Linked DNA regions of Stegostoma tigrinum. The protein of the gene in region 2 interacts with the protein of the main gene of each other region in a pairwise test. Links are inferred from orthologs where the notes say so. Each region holds a gene or a part of one and is shown on either strand. Other genes may lie near its edges.

Region 1 (7,895 bases), on a different chromosome or scaffold from region 2:
TGAGGAGGGCATAAAAGCCCTCTGTTTCTTCCTCTGTCACAGGCACAACCTGTTCCCCTCCACCAACTCTCTCATTCGCTTGGCAGAACTAGTCCTTACCCTCAACAGTTATTCCTTTGACTCCTTCCACTTCCTACAAATTAAGAGGGTAGCTATGGGCACTCGCATGGGTCCGAGCTATGCCTGCCTCTTTGCCGGATTGGTGGAACAGTACCTCTTCCGCAGACACACTGGCACCATCCCTCACCTCTTCCTCCGCTACATTGATGACTGTATTGGTGCTGCCTCATGCCCCCATGAGGAGTTTGAACAGGTCATCAACTTCAGCAACACCTTTCACCCCAATCTCAAATTCACCTGGACCAACTTGACACCTCCCTTCCCTTCCTGGACCTCTGCGTCTCCATCTCTGGCAACCGAATTCCATTTCAAACCCACCGACTGCCACAGCTATCTTGACCATACCTCCTCTCACCTATCCTCTTGCAAAAATATGATCCCATACTCCCAATTCTTCTGCCTCTGTCACATCTGTCCTGTGATGAAGCGTTCCACTCCCAGACATCCCAGATGTCATCCTTCAAGGACCATAATTTCCCCACTCCTGTGATTCAGAATTCCCTCAACCACATCTCCTCATTTCCTGCACTTCTGCCCTCAAATCCCCTTCCCCTATCCCTGGTCCTCACATTCTACCCCACCAATCTGCAAATCCAATGCATCATCCTGTGCCATTTTTGTCACCTGCGATTTCACCCCACCACCGAAAAGATATTTCCCCATCTCTATCTGCCTTCTGTAGGGACTGCTCACTCTGTCGTCAGCTGCACGTGCCCCACCAACTTTCCCACCACACCTGGCATCCTGCCCTGCAACTGAAGGAGGTGCTACATCTGCCCCTATGCATTCCCTCTCAGCTGCATCCAAGGTCCCAAACAATCATTCCATATCCAGCAGAGATTCAATTGTATGTCTTCTAACCTGATCGACTGTATCAGTTGCTCCCAATGCGGTCTTCCCTATATAAGGGAGACCAAGCACTGATTCAGGGGCCAATTTGCACAGCATCTACACCCGGTACGCTCCAATCAATGCCACCTTCCGGTTGCTAGCCATTTCAACTCCCCATCCTACTGCCTTGGCAACATATCCATCCTGGGCCTCCTCCACAGTCAAAATGAGGCGATACATAAACTGGAAGAGCAATGCCGTACATTCCCCCTCAGGAGCTTACAGCCCAATGGCCTCAACATAGACCTCACCAGCTTCAAAATCTCCCCACCACCAGCCTCGACCCACGTCCAGCCCTACCTCTCATCCCCGCCTCTTTGACCTGTTACAACCTGTCCATCTTCCTTCTCATCCATTCACTCCACCCTTCCCACTGACCAATCTCTTCAATTCCCTACCTGCATTTACCTATCATCATACGCACTCCTTCCTCCAGCCCAACCTCGCCCGTTTATTTCTGAGCTCCCTTCCCCTCCCCAGTCCAGGTGAAGGGTCCGGACTCGAAACATTGACTTTCCTGCTCCTCTGATACTGCCTGACCTGCTGTGCTCCTTCAGCTCCACATTTTATCGATTCTATTTGACCTTTCTTCTTTTTTACCACCCAAATAGTGGTAAACAAGAGAAAAACTCTGCCCCGCTTCTCCAATTATGCAATTTTATAAGTCTCAAGAATTATACTTTTCTGTTGATACAAAGATGCTACCCAAAACAAGCACTAAACAATACTCGTAGGAGAAGCCAAGGGAACAGGGTGATAGTTCACAAGATCGCCAACAGTTATGTTTTGAGCGTAATGAAACACATATCTCACTCAGTGCAACAAGAGCAACACTCAATAAACTTAACTGCATCTAGTGTGGAGCAATTTTTGAATATCATCTATGCCATTGCACTCAACATGCTTCCATTTGACTCCTTCCCAGGTATATAAAGTGACAGGACTGAAAGACAGTTCACACAAAAACAAAATGTTGACAAGTTCTGCTTTTGGAAGGAGCAAATGCACTTGTACAAACTCGTTATGGTCCTAGTAGTTATGCCTGATTGAAAATATTTGCACTCATTGTTGTAATGCAGTAAACCTTGTTATCTGAGAACAGTGCCTCTTCTGTAGATAGTCCATGGTGCTGGATCCTCCTACCAAGAATCACGAGATAGGTAGAGAAAAGAAATGAACACTGTTTGTAGCAGATTGCCGCAAACAATCTTGACTCAGCACCACGTATTGTAAAGGTGGTAGTTACTACAAGGAAATAGGAATAGTCCTCTAAGAAAATAACACACATTCCATCGTTCAAACCTTGTGGCAATAACACATGCAATTTTAGAGTTGTATGGAAAGCTTTCCAGTCCTACTACGAGTGCAAACAGAACAACAATAACCACAAGAAAACTGTCACCTATAAGTTTTCCTCCAAGTCACAAACTATCTTTATTTTGGCCTGTACTCCTTCACCATTCTGGACCTTCTTATGGCACCCTCATTACTAAGGCTAAACGTAAGGTCTCAGTCATCAATAAACGTTGCCTTGTTTGAATAATGTAATATCGTGAGAAACAAAAACTGCAACCCACCAAACAGTTTCTAGTACCAAAAATGACATGATAGTCACAATTTAAATAAAGGAAAGGGTAAATACATGGCAATAAATACGCTTCTAACCATGATTAGAATAAGTAAACTATAAATTGCAACATAGTTTAATAAATTACAATAGCATATTGATATTTTTAAATTATAATGTTTACCTGATGCTAAAGGAGAGCTTTTGAGATGCAGATTTGCGACTGTAATAGGAAGCAACTATTTGATAAAATGCTGTATTTTTCCTCCACAGTTTTGGCATTTGTACTTTTCATAAACTGTTGGAAGGAAAAGTAGTTGCCAAATTCCCCTTCTTAAAATAATAATCATAAAAAGCAAGATTGAATCTTGATGCTCTCCGAAATGTCTTTTTGCAGTATTGATCCCAGCTCTTTTGCATCATTTCCTCCTTTGCACTTTCTACTTCCGCCTTGAATGATTGACAAGCGGGCGGATGGGCTGAAACCACAGCCAATCAGAGATCAGATCACGGGTCAGCCGCGATAGCGCATGCGCAGATTCACGCGACTGCCATATGTCTGAAAGAGATTTTAAAAAGTGACAGTGAGGCAACAGTGTAAAAAAATGGGGAAAAAACAGAAAAACAAGAGTGAAGATAAGTGAGTGTTGAGCTGTTTACTTTTCTGTTTATTCGTTACTGAAGAGGCTGGTTGCCGTGAGCGATGGAAGGAATTGAGGGAGTATGTTGCTTGACTAGGCCGCTGGACGGATCTGCTCCTACTGCTCGAGTGCGGAGGAGTCCGGGTCCCTACCGCTAACATGACGCAAGAGGGGCAGGCCCGCGGGCTACTGACTGGGGTTAACGTTAGTCTGTTTTGTAGAAATGGGAGACTTCGAGGTTGTCTTCACCCCCTTCCTCCGTGATCCTCCTTTACGTTTTCAAGGAACCTGATAAACCATAGGCTTAGAATTTGTTTCTACGTATGATTTTTATCCAATAATTTTACGGTCATGTCAAAAGTGGATATAACATACGTTGCAGTTTTCTTTTCCTAAACGTTATGGGCCATATCTAGAAGATATTACTCTGATGCAGACTTTATATTGATTTGACTCATTATGGACTTTTTAAGTATGTTAACATTCCTGTTGAAGTGACAAAGACACGCTAGGTGAACATAATATCAGTACAATAATTTCTAGACTGAAGATTAATATAGAATATAATTTAGGCCTTCGTTATGATATCAGATGCAAATCAGATGCCAGACAATGACTCCTTATGTTGCCTTGTCTGTATCCATTTGTTATCTTCTACTCTGTGACCCTGGACTATATGGTGTATATTAATCATAATTATGTGTAAATATTTGCAATCAGCCTGTGCAGATTTGTTATGACACACCTCTGGAACCAGGCCTCCTGGCTTAGAAGTTGGGATACCATTGCTGTGCCACTAAGGCCCTTCCATAATCCTGTTTACAATCAAAAATAGAATTCCAAGCATATGAGAATACTTGGTGAGCCCTTTGTTGATTTATTAGCATTGAAGTATCTGAATAGAGAAGTCTTATCATCTAAATATCTAGTTAGATTTGCCTTATTCTAAATGTCACCCACATTTGTGATCAACTTGTCCATTGAAAATTAGTTTGCTTGTTTAATTAACTGCCTATTCATTGACTGTCTGTACCCGTATTCTCCAATTCGATGGAAAGTGTTCCTCATATGTCAATAAATAGAAATAAGTTCACCCGTGGGCTGGAATGACCCTGCACATCTTGTGACCACTATGTGGGACTTGGATGTATTTTCTTGCATCTTATCAGGCATTCAATCCCACGATGAGCAATATAAAAGTATTCACATGCAAGTTTTTAAACTTCAGTGCTTGCTAGAAAATTTGGATGCTCAGAAAGGGCACGGACTAGTGGTATTAGCAGTAGTCTTAATAATTTGGGGTTCAAATCCCACCGTGGCAAATGGTGGATTTTGGATACATTTAACAGACATGTGATCACCGTGAAACTGGTGTGGTTTGTTAGAAAAACCCATCTCATTCACTAATATTCTTCAGGGAAGGAAATTTGCCAATCTTACCTGGTCTGACCCATGTGTGATTCCAATTCTCAGCAATAGGGTTAACTCTTAACTGTCCTCAGGGCAATTAGGGAGGGCAATAAAGGCTACTGTAGTCAGCAATGCCCTCCTATGATGGGATTTTTAAAAAAGTATTATTTAATAGTAGCCATCATATTACATTTATCAGCAGGGTCTACAGCTTTTTTAAATCATAAAATTTGGCAACTGGAATTTGCTAATTGATTTATTACTGAAAATTATGAAACAAGTTGTCACCATTAATCATTAGTGACGGACACTAAATGCAGAAGGTGAGAGATTGATAATGATTGATGTATGGTTGTTTGTGGGAGAAGGAACGATTGTGAGAAGCAGAGATCTTGAGAGAGATTACGTATTGGTGTGTGTAGATCAAGAAACATGAAGTGAGAGAGGAAGGGGTGCATGAATGAATAATCTAGATTTCAGGAAATGAAAAATATCAAATGTGCTAAATTTTGAACACAGGCACAATACTGCAGATGCTGGAAATTGGAAATAAATAATAAAATGCTGCAAATGCACGTTCGGTATTATAGAATTTGTGGAAAGTAATAGTTAACATTTCATCAGACCTGAATCGGAGTTAGAATAATCAGCTTTCAAGGAGAAATATGGGCAGGGGAAGGTTTTAAAACAAAAACAAGAGGGAAGCTCATTAGTTGGAGAAACTCTCAATCTCCAAAGAAGTGGTTCTTATTAAATTATTGGAACTTAGGCCTGTCAATTGCCCCGATCCTGATGAACTTCAACCAATGGTCCTAAAAGAAGCGGCTAATGAATGAGATGGTACAGATTTCAAGTGATTTGCAAAATAAAAACGTGATTTGAGAAAAGAACTTCCTCACACAACGATTGAGTCATGTTCAGTAGTTGAACACTTGTAGTGAGAACTGAGGTGGAAGCAAGTTTAATTGAGGCATTCAATGGCACTAGATGATTCTTTCTATTAAATAATGTGCAAGATTTTGGGAAGCAGGCAGGAGAGTGGCGCTGAGTTATAATTCCCATTTGGAAAGCTGCTGAAGACAGGAGGGGTTGAATGGCCTCCTGCTGCACTGTAACACTTCAGTGACTCTGAAGGGAAATATAAAATGGGTTGCAGCAACAAGATGTCCTCTGGGACAAGGAGGCAGAGATAGAAATGCCTTCCTAGAAAGATAGAACCATTTAGAAGACTAATGGGTAGGTAAGTGTATTTCAGAGAGATAAGCATGCCCAGTGGAGAGAAAAGGTGTGCATCAGCCTTGATTTACCACTGCAGTTTAGCAATTTAAAAAAAAAGACAGTGCAGAAGAAAAACCCTGTGTGGCAAAAAGTTAGGTGACAGGAGAATGTGGGCAGCACGAAGGCTCGGTAGTTAGCTCTGCTGCCTCACAACACCAGGGACCTGAGTTCAGTTCCACTCTCGGGCCACTAGCTGTGTGGAGTTTGCACATTCTACCTGTGCCTGCGTAGGTTTTCTCCGGGTGCTCTGGTTTCCTCCCACAGTCCAAAAACGTGCAGACTAGATGGATTGGCCATGCTAAATTGCCCGTGGTGTTCAGGGAGGTGTAGATTAGGTGGGTTATGACGAGAGGGGTGAATGGGTCTGGGTGGAATGCTCTGAGGGTCAGTGTGGATTTTTTGGGCCAACGGGCCTGTTTCCACACTATAGGAGTTCTGTGATGATGATCTATGAATATCTTACAAGGCCATTGAATGCACAATTTAAGTGAACACCTCGTGAGGAATAAATCGGTTATGTTAGCAGCTTAATGGTCTCCTGAAGAAATCTGACCTGGACATGATGGTGTAGAGTGAATGCAGAAGTTTGCTGGTAAGAAGCCAAGAATAGCCATGCTTCCTGAACAAGAAGCTTTTAAAGTGGAAAGAGAGTAACTTGGACTTTTAAGGTGAGAGCAAGAAGATTGTATCTTCCTAATATGTGCTAAGAACATTTCAAATAGTTCTTATACAGAGGTAAAGTCACTGTAGTCTTACCAAACTGCAGGACGACTGTCTCATTGGAGAAGCACAGCTGGTGGTATTTTAACCTGAGGGTCACCATGTCTTGGACGAGTGAAGAAGTTGAGAAGTAGAATCCTTCATGGTAACCTCAGCCAGCGTAAGAGTTGAACCCATGCTGTTAGCTTCATTCTGCAGTCCAGCCAACTGAGTTAAACTGATCCCAAAGGCTAAGTTAGAAAAAGGATTTGTCTAATAACATGAACATAAATATATATTTTTTTTGTTAAAAGTAGATTGGCAGCCTCTTTTTAATACATTCAGTTACTGACCACAGTAATAAACCAATTGCCCAAATTCAATTTCTAGTCTATCAAACCAGATTTCAAGTTGATATTAATGGACAAGTTAAATTCCATCAGCTGGGATGATAGCATTGAATGAGTTTCAGTTTGTTTGTGCCTGCTGGAGTTAACAGTCACATTATTGTTGAACTTTCTGTTGTATCTCATTTTTATGATGTTTGGTCAGCTGTTAGCTGTTCTGGTATTGATTGTTTGAAAATTCTCTGTTCTTTAATTTTTCTCAAATTTTATCCAGTTTTGGCCTTGTATTCACTAAAATAGCACAACTTAATGGGAGTATATTTGTCACATTGTATTATTTCTAATCTCCAATTTTGTTTGATATGTACCCTTACTAAGCACAGTAATATTTTTTGTGATTGAATGAATCAATGAAAGAACACTAGTTAAGAGCAGAGACTGAAGCTTTAATCAATCAGTAGCTTTTTTTTGATGTGTTTAGGAAATAGTTTTAGTATCCAAAAGCATTATGGGAGAGATTTCTGTTGTTGTACTCTGTTTTCAAAAAATATTTTCACTACAAACTTTTCAGATTTTTAATGGTAATCTGTTGAATGTGGCAACTAGAAACTGAGTTTTCAGTCAAAGTGCAGTTGTAGCATTCATCTGGATCGAAAAGTTAGTGTTCAAGTTCCCACGGACTTGAGCACAAACCTTAGCTGAGGCTTCAGTGCAGAACTGAGAGCTCGCTGCACTTTTGGACAAATTTGGGAAACAATGTTAACCCAATATGTCTTATGTCCTCTCAGGGATGTCAAACAATAACAGTATTTTGAAGGCAAGCAGGAAAGATCACTTCCTATCTTGACCAGCAATTATCCTTCTTTAGTGGGATTTAAAACAGATTATCTGACTACTGTTTGTGTGTAGTAAGATTCCACAAACTTTCCCATGTCATAACAA
Region 2 (7,092 bases):
GGCATGAGCCACCAGCAACACACCCACTGGGGAGCCAACTTCTGCTACTTTTTACAGTCTTTAGGGTGCATCATCACTTTTCATTGTAATGCTACTGCTAGGTAACTTTACATGCAGGGTCAAGCACCCATTTCATAGATCAGATCAAGGTGCACCTCATGACTCCTTGCTTGCTGTTTTAGGGCTCATTCACTTTGGATGCTCACAGCGTGTCTGCTTGGCTTGCCTTTTTGCACTTTATCTCCTCATTCCAACCTTAAACGCTCACAGTATTCCTTTTCCACTTAACACAGACTCAAAGCCAGGCAGCTTGTCATAATTTTCAACAGTGATCACTCAAGGAGATGGATATATTCTAGTATGGCACCATGCTACACAATTGTCACATCTGCATGTACCAGCAACTTACTTGGCAAAACACTACATGTTCTTCATCCAAAGGTCCATGTCTCAAAGTCAAGTGGGAGTAGTTCTCAGTCAAGTCAAGGGACCTGTCATCAGTCAGGGGGTCCCATTACAGTTAGTTAAGTGCAGAATCCAATCTCAGTCCTGGGTATTGGGCATGATAAACAGATATCTGAAGTGGTCAAGATCAGAGGTTCCATATCATTATAGTCTGGAGAGATAACCACAATATGTCCTGCAGGTCAGGTGTTACCAGTCTGAGAATTGCAGTAGGTCAGTCTGGGAGTTGTATCGAAATCAGTCAAGGGTCTGGCCACTCATTAATTGAGGCTAACTTTCTAAGTTGGCCATGGGGCTGGGCCATAATCAGTCCTGGGAGTCAGCTCAATGAAGCTCAAAGGGGTCTATAAGAGCCACTCCTGTGTTAGGGAGGCTGGCTAAATTGATTGTGGGATTGGATGCAGCATGCTGGAATGCTGAGGGGCAATAATTGTGAAAGGCAATACTGCAACATGTAAGGGTAGGAGATGATGGTCCATTGGAGGACACATGTTATTGCAGGAGGAGGGGTCATTGACTGTCACCATTACCCTGAATTTGACAAGGAAACTGTGCAGCACAATTGTTGACATGCCTAAGCTATAGGCCTAGAGTTTGGGGGTAATGTTCGGAGGTGAAGATGAAATTAAAGGATTTGCATGGAAATGTGTGGATGTTCAATATTGATAAACTTGAAAGGGAGTTCCAGAAGAAAGCAACATTGAGGTTCAGGGGCGTCTCATAATTACTAGGATGTGCCTGTGTCTCATGTGCCATATACATACTGAGTTGTCTTCCATTTTCATGCTAATTGTAAATGTGCAATGGAATTTGGAAAATGGCTAGAATGGCACCTGGAGTAAGCAGAGTAAATGTTTTCCTTTTGTCTGAGCATGAATTTTAATTGTAAGCAATGTGACGTGCTTCAGGAGACAATTCCATTAATCAGGCATGACACTGATAATCATAGTTACCTCATGTGAAAGCAATGCAGTGTCCAATTGTACAGAATACAAATCCTAGTCGCAAGTAATCTTGACCATGTCATTGATTATTGCAAATTGAACATCGTCATCTCTATAAAGCTAATGTAAACATAGGCCACCTTTAGAGTTCCATTTGCAAGCATGTTTCATAAAGACAATTCAAGATCTCATAGGCTGCTCACTTTGAAATGTATGTATTTGTCAACATGTTTTCATATGCAGTGCTACCTTTCTTGGGTGAAGTGGGGAACAAGGTATCAGTAATCCTACTGAACTCATAATCTGAAACTGTATTTGCATCACTTTTGCTGTATACATTAGACTGATTCTCCGTATGTCAATGGTCCATGTAGGGGTATTCTTTGGACCTCTTTGTTGGATACTTGCATTTTCCACTGTCTCGAAGAATATGCCAAATTGTCTTTGGTGTGTAAATGTTAATGCTGACTGCTCTCATTAAGAAGGAGCTGTTCTGTTTCTGATATTCTCCACAAAGGTTCATTGGAAATGTGGCCAACTGATTTGCCCATAGCAGGGATTATCACTGCAGTGGCTGCAATGCTATGATCATTCATTGACCCAAAATTTGTTGTTGCTTGAAAGGCTAGTAAGCCCTGTATGTACCAAAAACAGATACATCTCTTTTTCTCTTTGCAAGTTTCTCATTGTGTGTGCTGTTGTTGTATAAAAGTGATCATTTTCAATTGTTTGAAGGCTTATTAGTATTTGCAGCTCAAACATTGAACAATATTACACTACGTTGGGCATTGTGAAAAGAGTAGACAGGGTTCATAGATGCCATGGCACTAAGGATGAAGCTTGATTCTTGTAACTCAGTTACAATTACAGTGGATCAATCAGAAGCTCATGTAAAATAGCAACCATTTACAAACATGAGCTTGAATTTGCAATGAAGTGATGCCTGTGCCACTTATATGCCCTCAGAAGTTTTTTTTTTGCTTGTGTTCCTCTCCGACTTCATACCTTGTGAGGGGCAGCCCCTGAGTGACAGCACTCAACCATATTCATGTCTAGGCAGTAGAAAAGGTGCCATATTCGGAAATCCTGGGAGATCCCATCAGTGGTGAATTATCCCACTGTAACCGAGGGCCCGACATGTGCTGTAGCACATGGTACAAGGATAATGAGGTGAGTTGTGAAGAACTGAGAGAAAACTTGCTAGGATTCGACGAGAGAAAGCTTCTACAAAATTGAAGCTTAGCTGATTTTAGGAAAAACTCAGGTCAGGGAGTTGATGTCAACAAGTTCAATATGTCTAGAGTATTTTCAAACATTTCAAAGCACTAATGAACCCTCTATAAATTATAAAACCTCACATTTACATGGTATCTTTGCATGGCATTGAATTAATGACTTTGAAAACTATGAAGGCAAGCACAAAGATTTAGAAGGCATAACTATAGGAAAAAGCTTTTGGCAATGCAATGTTGTGAAATTTGTCTCTGTGCTGTGAGTAGATTTGTAGTTATGTGCTGCATGTTTGTTAATGGTCGTTCTTGTTTAAAGCCCCAGTTAAAGGGAACACTGTTGGCAGACAGGGCTTGATACTGTCTGACTGATTCCACCACGTTCATCATTAATAACCGACACAATGGAAGCTTTGTGTTATTTTAACATTCGCCACCATCCATCACTGTTTAACTTGACACCGGGTATCATAGAAAGCTAATAATCCTCAGGCAGGGAATGCAATGCAAAGGGGTTTGAAAAGAAGTAGTTCTTGATTGGAGCGCATGAAGACTATTCAGGGCACGGCAGTAATGTCGAAACTTGATGCTTAGTCCGGAATAGTTGGACGCTTTCTGTGAAAGTTTACAAGGTGTGAGAAATGTCACCGAAAGTGAAAACGGCTCGGAGTTGACCTTTCGCCAAACCGAGTGTCCGAAATGTACATCCCAGCACTGAGAGCACTTCACGTACCACTGTCTGGGTCTACTCCCATTCAGTTCGCCCTTACTGAGCCCCTAGTGTATGCATGTTCCAAAATCCATCTCCAGGGGTGATAGTACAGCAGGATTGTAAAGCAGAGTTAATTTGGACGAGCTAGGCTGAAGATGACGGCTAAAATATGAAATTCAAACAATAAACATCCATCTCCTCCAGTAAATAAACACCGTCTAATGCTATTTCTGGGGATTAAATATTATCACAATGGAGGCAAAACAATTGATCTCCCAACTGGATCCCAAGGATCTGGGAACTGACGGCAATCAACCAGCAGGAGTTAGCTGCAGTGCTGGCTGATTCGGAGTTAACCACAGACAGAACCCATGTGGAAACTTTCAGAAACCGCGAACAGATTTATTATTATTAACACTGTTGATTGTTCCCCCGCTGAAGGAAGCACGGTGAATTTGCAAATATAGCCTGAGCAGGCGATAACTTAGAAAAATGAAGAATGTTTTATTTCGGAAAACAAAGGAACAAAAAAAAACGTAACTTTCAGTGAGTTCGCCGCTGCTTTCAGCACCTCTTGGGAATAGGTGAAATCAGATTGAAGTCCTGATGCACGACGACAGCTAAGAGTTGGATAGAATTTCTGCGCTTTCTATATATATCTCAGTGATTTCATGCCAGCGGAGACTTTAAATGCCACCTAACAGTTGGCGTCGACATACTGCTCTGCAGTTGGTGCTTGAGATAACTTGAGACTAAAAGCCCCATTGATAATGGAGCTTTTCGAAACCAACCCTTATTACATTACAGACCAACGCTTTTTCGACAGCGAAAATGTGTTCCCCTCCCGCTTGCAGGGGTTTGAACAGAGCGTCTACCAGGAGCGGCTGGGGAGCGGCTTGTGTACCGACGCCAGGTCGCTGGAAGGCGGCTTGGACGAGCACGTGCACTCGGTGTCAGAGCTCCAACAGCAACAGCAACTTGCACAACAGGTCTGCCCTGGTCAGTGCTTGCTGTGGGCGTGCAAGAGCTGCAAGAGGAAATCCGTCACCTTGGACAGGAGGAAGGCGGCTACCCTCAGGGAGAAGAGGAGGCTGAAGAAAGTCAATGAGGCTTTCGAGGCGCTGAAGCGCAGCACTTTACTGAACCCCAACCAGAGACTGCCCAAGGTGGAGATTCTCCGCAGCGCCATTCAGTACATCGAGAGGCTCCAGGCTCTCCTCAGCACCTTGAACCAACAGGACAAACTGCACTACAGTGGCAGCAACACACGCCAAGTGGCAAGTATCCCGCAGCCCGCGGAAGGCACTGGATCAAACAGTCCGGTCCATATATCGCTGTAACCAGCACAGTCAACCTTACAACCCTGGAGCCCTGCCCAGAGCAAACCCAGCAGATGATGGGCTGGAAACTGCTCAATACGTTGTGATCAGTTGACACCTCTTGTTCACCATCTAGATTTGCTCTGGCACCATCTCCGGGATTGTAAATTGTTTCTATCAAAGACTTCTTAAAAAAAATCCTCTGCTATCTGGTAAAGACTTATTTATTAAACTTAGAAACAAAGGGGCTTTGAGTGTCCAATGTTGCGTCTTTCCCGAACCCAGAATCACCTTCGTAACTGATTAGCTACGTTTTGGTTTGCAGGAAACCCTGCTCGGGAAACTCGGCAAGTTCTGGTACCCCCAGGTGCCTAATTGTAATCCACTCCGGCCCCCCTTATCCCAGCTCCGTTCTATTTAAGGATTAAGATCATAGTGGTTTGTGTCTAAATATATGGGAAGAGGAAGCGGAAGGCCAGATACGTTAAATTTTTTCGAGTGTACACTTTATGGATTTGCTTTAATAGGCTCAACAATGTCAAATTGACAGCGGAACGAAAACGCGAATTTGTGACAATAAAGCTAACCCAATGTATTTTTAATTGCTTAAAATGACAGCTCTGGCTCACGGGAAGGTCAAAGAAAGAGTTGCATTTCTGTAGTGCCTTTCACAACCTCGTGTGCTTTACAGCCAATGGACTGTACTATGTTCACTTTGTAATTTTATTGAAATAACCTGATCAAAACATAAGAACGAATTAGTGTGTGTACGTGGACACTGTGTTGATGATTTTGACGTACATCCGTTGAAAGGATTGTGTTCACTGTTTCACACGCGAGGCGACAGACAGCGGGGCGGGGGGGGGGGGTGCCATAGTTGAACTGATTTTTCCGAAGGTCCACGCAGAGAGCAGGTGTTTTGAGCAGTGTTTGGAACAATTGTTGAAAGAAAACAATAAACTTGAAATATTGTTACTCTGCAAGCTCAGCGCGCTGCAGTTTCGAAAGTAGTTCGATTTCTACTATAAATACTCTGTAAATACCATCCATCCCTGGTCATTCTTTCCATTACTGCAATTGTAGGTCGGAGTACCCAGCGAGTGCGGATCAAACAGCGCTTCCTGCAGCCCGGAGTGGAGCAGCTCCTCTGATCATTGCAACACTACTTTCAACAATTCCAGGGGTAGGTACAGCAGTTGGTGAAAGTGAAAACCCCTCTCAATATTCTCAATTATTCTGTTTATACAGACTCACTGAATAAATCAATGAAGTAGGAATGGCATTTGTACTTGCCCACCTGTAGCTAGCGCGAGTCATAGATGGTACCTTTCGAAACAACGACCCACACACTGTCTTGTCTGAAGGGTTGCAGTCATAGAGCTATAGAGCATGCAAACAGGACCCTTGGGCCATGCTGACCTGGTTGCCGAACTAAACTAGCTCCCCACCTGCCTTTGCTTGGCGATCTCCCTCCAAATCGTTCCTATTCATGAACTTATGCAAATATGTTTTATTGTTGTAACTGTACCTGCATCCACCACCTCCTCTAGCAGCTCATTCCACACACGAACTTGTGCAAAAAAAAGTTGCCTCTTGTCCTTTTTAAATCTTTCTCCTCTCATCTTAAAAATGTCCCCTAGTTTTGAACTCCCTCTGGGGATAAGACCCTTGTTATTCACCTTTCTATACCCCTCATGATTTTATAAACCTCAATAAGGTCACCCCTCAATGTAATGTGCTTTTAATTCTTCACACGTTATAGTTGTTTTGCAAATGATAGCGGCAAAGGGTTAAAAGTCACAGTGCAAAAACATTTGTGTGAAAGACATAGACCAGCTCAAACTAGAAAGTGTCAATTTATTGCCACATGCATAGATTCCATTAACATTCTTTGGTCAGCCCACCAGGAAGCAGGCTTCATTAAGGAACGTAAGCCACAGCAAGAGAAAATACCATTCCCTAGCATAAGCACCAGCTCAGAAACAATAAAATTAACCTTCCCAAGTGGATCCAAAGGAAACACACCATAACTGGGTTCTCATTGACTTGCATTTTCCATTGACATAATGAAGCCTTGCAAGGCAGTTCACCAGGGTCAAAATTAAATACTGGAGAGGAAGACCAGGCGATAGACAATGGTGCCTTCAAAGCAAAAGCTTGTAACGGGACGTTTGAAGCTCGAAGAAATGTAGTGAAGAGAATTTCAGAGTTTGAGGATGTAGTGATTAATGGAGGACCAGAATATTGGGTGGGGGGGGGGGAAAACAGTCAAACAAGGTCAGAATAGCTGAAGGTAAGAACTGGGTATTGGGCTGAAGGGCCTTATGGAAATAGGCTGGAGTTGGATTTTCATATCATTGGTAAAAATGGACAAATATGTTGAAATTTAGTGATGAGGGATAAGATTCAGTGGAGGACAAAAA
Region 3 (6,933 bases), on a different chromosome or scaffold from region 2:
CACCATTGCCTGGTTGCTGGGTAGGGAGGATATGACATCACAAAAGAGCATTTTATTTGCTATGATCACGGCAATATCACACTGAATGTACTTGCCTTTGGTGAATATTGCGAGGCTGATTCCTAATGTGAGGGGATTTGGTATTCAGAAACTGAATAAACTAGACCTATCTTCCATGGAATTTTAAAAACGACATGATATAACTGAAAGATGTAAAAGCTTTAAGGGCTTGCCAGTGTAAATGCTGATGTTCCCTCTGTCTCAGAATAAGAGGTTATCCATTTAGGACCAGTGATTGTGAATCTTTAGAATCCTCTATCCTAGGAAGTTGGGGTTTCTCAGTCGTTGAATATATTCACAAGAGTTGATAGATTGTTGGGTACTAAGGGATACAAGGAGTATGTTTGAATAAAGACCTTTGTACACTGTGGCTTACCATACACTTGATCTCTCACATCATGAAATATCACGGATGTAAATAAAGCTTTAGGGCAGTAGCTAATTTATACTTCACATGGAACAGGAGGTCAGAAGTGTACAACTTGGATTCAGCATATTTTCACAACTGAGAGCAAATAGCTGCAAAAAACAACCGTGACTTAATTCTGAGATAACAAGGTGTAGAGCTGAATGAACACAGCAGGCCAAGCAGCAGGAAAACTGACGTTTCGGGCTTAGACCCTTCTTCAGAAATGGCTTAATTCTGAACCCTTATACCGGAAATTGGCAACTGTGTAAGTCATAACAACTATGAATATTCCAGCACTTACTCCTGAAGAAATGAAATTAAATTTGAGACTGAGTTGCAAATTCTTCCAGTCTTAGAAGCAGAATTATGCAATTGCCACAGAGTTGAGCAAGAAACCTGTAAAAGTCCAGAGTAGCAACTCTGTTATCAGTATGAGAGAAAGCTTGGCACTCTAGATCTCAGCAAAGAACCAAACCAAACTTACAGTTTTTAAGGTTTTGAAGACCCAATTTAAATACTCTGCTCATGTTATTTATAAATGCTATGTGTTTAACACTAGAGACCAGGAAGGCAAGAAGAATACTGACGGCAATGAAATGTCTAGTTGAATCTTATGAGTCAGGGCAACTGAACGATGATTGCATCAGAGATAAGATAGTCCTAGAAAGAAGTGATTCTGCTTTGAGTGTATGTCTGCTGAGAGAAGAGAAACCTATTATTAAGGAAACTGTTGATGTGTAGAATCTCTGAAGTGTTTAATCATCAATTGAAGTGTATTGATAGGACAACTGATGAAATTATGTATTATGTTGAGAGACAATCCCAATCTTCCAAGCACACGACAACTGAAAGGAAGGATGATTTGAGGAAAGGACAACATAAAAATCCAGTTTTCAGTACTGGATTTAAATACAAGGAGGACAACACAAGAAAGAAAAGAAAGTATGTTTAGCACAGGGAAAGCAGACTGTAATTGCAGCAAGCTGAATCACTTTACATACAAGGATTTTGTGAGAAAAAAGAAAATTAAACTGATAAAAGATAGTTGCTGGAGAATTATCAGCTGTTGATTCTGACAAAATACTCCACATCCTAGAAAAAAGTTAGTACTGTATTGTCCCAAGGCGAAAAAAATCTGAGTGTTGAAATGATGATTCCGGAAGCACATGAAGCGAATCAAATTAAACTGTTCTTGTGCAAATCACAAACTTCGCAGACTTTTGTGAACTTTCCCAAGACGATAACCTGGAAATTAAGTTGTAAAAGGCAATGTTTAGGCTCCATGATGCAGAGCAAGAGCAAACCAAATTGATGTCCAATAATGTGGAAATGAAGATGAACTTTAATTCTATACGATGGGTACTAAGCAAAATTCTTGAATTTCGATAGATAAAAACTGTTACAGATAGGGAGAGAGGTTCATTTAATTATTTTACATTTGTCCTCTTCTGTTCACAAGTGGAGGAATTTAAAACAAAATTGTATTTACTTTTCCTTTTGAGATAGACTATGCTGTATTTACCACCCATCCCAAGACCTCTGTTGGTGCTTCTTAATTTTCCACTTGTCCCACAATATACTCTGTAGAATGTTTAAAAAGTGTAGGTTTCTTATATGTTAAGTCCCAGGCTATGGATGAAGCTCTGAATAGGCCTCTTTACCCTCACTGGAATAGATTACCTTGTTAAAACTAATTACTATTACGTAGAAACAGAAGATAGGAACAGTAATGTGCCATTCAGCCTTTAGGCCTTCTTCACCATTCAATATGATCATAGCTGACCATACAACTCAATGCTGTGTCCCTGCTTTCTTCCCATAGCCATTGATTTTTTTTAGACCTAAGACATATATCTGAATCCCTCTTGAAAACATTCAATGTTTTGGCATGAACTGCATTCTGGCACGCAGAATGCCACAGTTTCACAACTTTCTGAGGGAAGAAATTTTCCTCAGCTCAGTCCTAAATGGCCCACTGCATATCTTTAGACAGTGATGCCTGGTTCTGGAAGTTCGGACTGCTGAGAATTAGATCAGCTGATGTTAATAACTACCAGTGAGACTTTGGAATGCCTGAAAGAGCATTTCAATTGCCTTGGCATTCCTAATATGATAAGCAATAACAAGCCTCAATCCATGAGTTAAGACATTTAATAATTGCTTGGAAAATTCAGCACTACATATCCTCTCCACATTACACCCAATCAAAATGGAACAGCTAAGGCAGAAGTTAAAATTGTCAAAGGATCATCAAAAAATATATTGGATTCAGCATAAATGTGTACAAGGGGTATTCTTAGAGGGAGAAATAAACCCTCTGAAGCAGAGAACATGGTCCAGATCAGCAACTAACGTCATGCTGCGTGCTCCTTACAGCAGCATGACTGAAGCTAGCAGCAGCAACAGTGCATGATAAGATCAAAGTATAATGACAGATAGCTAAATTCCGCTTTGATAAAGGTGACAAATCAGTGCCAATGTTAGAAAATCATCAGAGTACAAACAATTCAATACATTCAACATAAGTCATTAACCTTGGCAATTTGAAGACTTGAGACACAAGTCATCATAACTTTACATTGTGAAAGCCAATGACCCCCAGATCTATCATTGCAACTACATATGGAAAGATACAACCAGAAATAACTGATGAAGGAGATTTGATTTGTCAATTGAACAAGGTACTGAAACACCATCAGTTCCAGGGGTCAACATTTCTCCAAAACAAAATGTACACAAAGTGTTCGTACATATCATGCCTCTATATCAGATAGGACCTTAAATCAGCCCCTAGAGGACCCAAAGGTATACACTACCACTGTGCCATAAGACCCTCAATTCCCAAAAATGCAATGAATTTACAGCACCAATTATCACAGCTGCCATTGTAGCAATGTTCCCTAGAAAAGTAATGACACGCCTATAACTGCCGACACCACACAAATGGCCAAAAACAACAATTAAAATACATGAATGATTTAAAGATTTATGTCCAGTACAGGTACAGGACAGGCAAAATTGGAGTTGACTAGAAGGACAAAGATTTCCCCCCCGCGCATGACAATTTTCTTTATGGATTACGTTCATAACTTGCAAAAGATCTACTCATGTTTTCCTTTCTTACAGTCTTATTGTGCATGCAATTTTTTAAAAATGAAAGATTGGATTGTTTGGACGAAAATATTTTGCAGCTTATGATGCATCATATTCATGTGACCTATATATCAATATATAAATATTTTAGACAATATACACACCACATGGAACAAACGATTGACACTGAAGAAGTGAAGATAAATCAGCCATGATCTAACTGAAACGCCGTTGACACAACCGCGTTTTACCTGGACATCATATCGATCGTGACGTCAGGTGATGTCTCACGCACGACGCCGGGGCCGTGGCTCCCAGAATGCCTGTCGCGCAGAAAGCGGGCGGGGATCTCTATGGAAACGGGGCCTAACGACAAAGAAAGAAATCTGAAGCTACACATCTCCAGTACTCAGTAGAGAAGTTAGAAAAAAAATCGAGCCGACAGGAACAGTCTGGGGAAGAGTAGGGACGGGGTGTGGCAGGGGCAAACGTGGATTGATTCCGCGTTCAGTCACCGGGCAATGCTCGGCGTTTGGGAATCGGGGAAGGCCCGTGAACGGGACCAAAGCTAGGCGGTATTGGATACAGTGGAAATATAGTATTTTGTTGTGTTTCATGACCGAGGAAGATAGGGCCCCATCTAGACTATAGATTCCATCAGCATCATGTCATTCAGAGACCTGAGGAGTAAGGATAATTTTCATGTCTGAATTTAGGCTGTGGGTAGAAGTAGCGTTGGTTTTACAAATATTCGGGTTCAGTAGGTCTGCTATTTAACCCTGGAGGATCATCATCTTTGTATATTATTTATATTCAGAAACAGCCTCCAACTTTTTAAATTTTAGGATAGACAGAGCTACGGAGACAAAAATGATCTTAGATTACATAGTTTCTCTTACACTATTTACCCAGGAATGAATTTTGTCATTTATAATGAGAATAAGATTTAATTTGCATTATCTGCAAGATTATTCCTTACACCATCCTCTGTTTTGTAAAAGCAGGCTGAGGAGCACAATAATTTGCCATTAGTTCCATATTGTATGGATGCATCAATTATTAGTACTTTCTCAGACTTGTCAATATTAATCCTTAATACATTATTTAAGAAGAAAGCCTCTATAATCAGTGTACAGATGTAATTTGATACTACAAGAATAGAGTATCCTTCTGAGAAGTGCAATAATGGGAAAGTTCCAGAAATTAGCACCTCCAAGCTGCTAATTAACTAATGTATGTATAAACACTGATGACCTATTGTATTTCAGACTTCACTGAGATGATGAGGGCTCTGGGGTATCCCCGTTTGATCTCTATGGAAAACTTTCGGATTCCGAATTTTCCTTTGGTATCAGAGATTCTCATTTGGCTCGTTAAAAGGTTTGTGATCTTAAAAGTGCACTTTTATAATAACCTTAGTTATTCAATATCTATGGAATGAATTATGAAAGTTTTGGTATTGAATTTACTTTGGTATCTGTACCACTAACCAAGGCTGTATAGTTTTGTAGCAGCACTGTCTGTTTGGAAAATTCATCATTTTTCTCTCAAACAGCATCAACATCTTCTGAAATATCTGGATATTCATCTAGTTTGATCATCTTAGGACCTTGCTATGTGCAAATTGGCTACAGCATTTGTCTGCATAAAAACATGAATACATATTAAAGTGACTGCATTTGAGGCCAATGCAACTGTGAGATGAAAAACCACGTGCAGCTGCAAAATCACATCAATGCATTAATGTATTTCTGTGGTTGGTATAGTAGGCCATTGCAGAGAGGGAGTCATCTAGAATATTCCCAGTGATTTTGCTTGTATAAATGGAGTGTTTAGATTGAAAATTTTGCACTAAATCTTTACTTTTATGATAAGACTGTTTAAGACATAATAAATGAGAAATCGTAGCAGACCTTATGGCACAAGTCTGTTACTGTAACACTCATCCTTCAGCTGATGTGCACTTGTTCATTACGTCTTGGGAGTACGATATAGAAAAAAGGGAGTGCAGGTAATTCCGATCTTTGGTCTGTTGAGATTTAAAATAAGCAGTTTGTTCTTGCTGGAAAGTATGAGGTTTGGATTCTGCTGCACTACATTTGTTACAGTTGACAGACTATACCATCACCTTCCATTTTAACTGTGTTTTGGGGATAACCTTAAAAGTTCTAATTTCCTTTAAAAGGGAGGGGGGTTGTGAAAATAGTACACTGGAAAGTAACTTACCTTACTTGGAACTTGTTTTATCAGATACGAACCCCAGACAGATATCCCAACAGATGTAGATACAGAACAGGACCGAGTTTTCTTCATCAAAGCTGTAGCACAATTCATGGTAAGCAGCAAATAGCTCTTCCTCAGCCTGGTGTGTGAAAACTGTAGGACAGCATGAATCTGGGATGAACTCCAGAAACCTGCAGTATGTTTTGTGAATATATTTACTTTGTATTGCAGGCTACTAAAGCTCACATTAAGCTCAATACTAAGAAGTTATACCAGGCTGATGGATATGCGGTGAAAGAGTTGCTGAAGATTACTACTGTTCTCTATAATGCTATGAAAACAAAGCGAATGGACACAAGTGAGGATACAGAAGAAGATAGTTCAAAATTCAAATTTGACTTGGGGTCGAAGGTGAGTAATGCAACTTAATTCCTCATTCAGGACAAGATTAGCACAGATGTTTGTTGTTTGAGCAGTACAATACAAGAGAACATAAGGGCAAATTCAGCAATGCCCCTCTGCCACCGAAATCAATTCTCACTAAACCATCCCTCAGGACCAGGGCTATTGTTTTCTAGCCCCACCTATGACTCATTACCCTTTCCAGTGAAATTCTGCTCCACAGGAGCTTTGCCTTTTTGAATTTGCACTGTATTTTGACTGAGAGTATGTTTAACAATCTAGCTTTACTGTTCCATCAAAGTGTTGCCGCAAGGTCAAGTTAGCAGTTCAACACTCAACCATACAGGGAACTTAAGTGAAACTTTCATTTTGGCCTACAGCAGTGAGATGTTTTAATCCTGACCATGTGGTAAATATGTGTTATACACCTGTTACAACCCAATGATTTGCTCCTGGACTGTACAAAATATATAAATAAACCCTGACAGTGCACAAATTTTGGTGCTAACATAGAGTCTGTCTTCATGATGTAAACTGCCCTTAATAATATTTGCAGAGAGATGTTTTGTAGCTTATATTTTCCATCTTCTCACCTATTCCAGATATCAGATTTGAAAACTGCCAGACAACTAGCTTCTGAGATTACCTCCAAAGGAGCAACTGTATTTGATTTGTTGGGAAAAGAAGTAGACCTGAGGGTGAGTCAGCAGGTTTCTGATCAACTAGCATCTGACAACTGGAAGATA

What was found.
Region 1: the proteins of myog (region 2) and txndc9 interact in binary tests that used the Homo sapiens proteins (3 or more experiments, as listed by UniProt). The two-hybrid records come from large-scale screens. The link is inferred for Stegostoma tigrinum from reciprocal best matches to the Homo sapiens genes MYOG and TXNDC9.
Region 3: the proteins of myog (region 2) and cluap1 interact in binary tests that used the Homo sapiens proteins (3 or more experiments, as listed by UniProt). The two-hybrid records come from large-scale screens. The link is inferred for Stegostoma tigrinum from reciprocal best matches to the Homo sapiens genes MYOG and CLUAP1.

The regions. Positions count from the first base shown.
Region 1 is NC_081359.1:59,429,707-59,437,601, forward strand, and holds the start of txndc9 (thioredoxin domain-containing protein 9), read right to left. Parts: upstream 3,010-7,895; 5' UTR 2,763-3,009; intron 1-2,762. Other genes in the region: eif5b (eukaryotic translation initiation factor 5B), read left to right, coding at 3,184-3,218. UniProt on the Homo sapiens protein: Significantly diminishes the chaperonin TCP1 complex ATPase activity, thus negatively impacts protein folding, including that of actin or tubulin.
Region 2 is NC_081374.1:35,306,754-35,313,845, forward strand, and holds the start of myog (myogenin), read left to right. Parts: upstream 1-4,053; 5' UTR 4,054-4,120; coding exon 4,121-4,627; intron 4,628-5,752; coding exon 5,753-5,852; intron 5,853-7,092. UniProt on the Homo sapiens protein: Acts as a transcriptional activator that promotes transcription of muscle-specific target genes and plays a role in muscle differentiation, cell cycle exit and muscle atrophy.
Region 3 is NC_081376.1:31,625,136-31,632,068, forward strand, and holds the start of cluap1 (clusterin-associated protein 1 homolog), read left to right. Parts: upstream 1-3,858; 5' UTR 3,859-4,227; coding exon 4,228-4,249; intron 4,250-4,830; coding exon 4,831-4,942; intron 4,943-5,812; coding exon 5,813-5,897; intron 5,898-6,016; coding exon 6,017-6,196; intron 6,197-6,789; coding exon 6,790-6,885; intron 6,886-6,933. UniProt on the Homo sapiens protein: Required for cilia biogenesis. Appears to function within the multiple intraflagellar transport complex B (IFT-B). Key regulator of hedgehog signaling.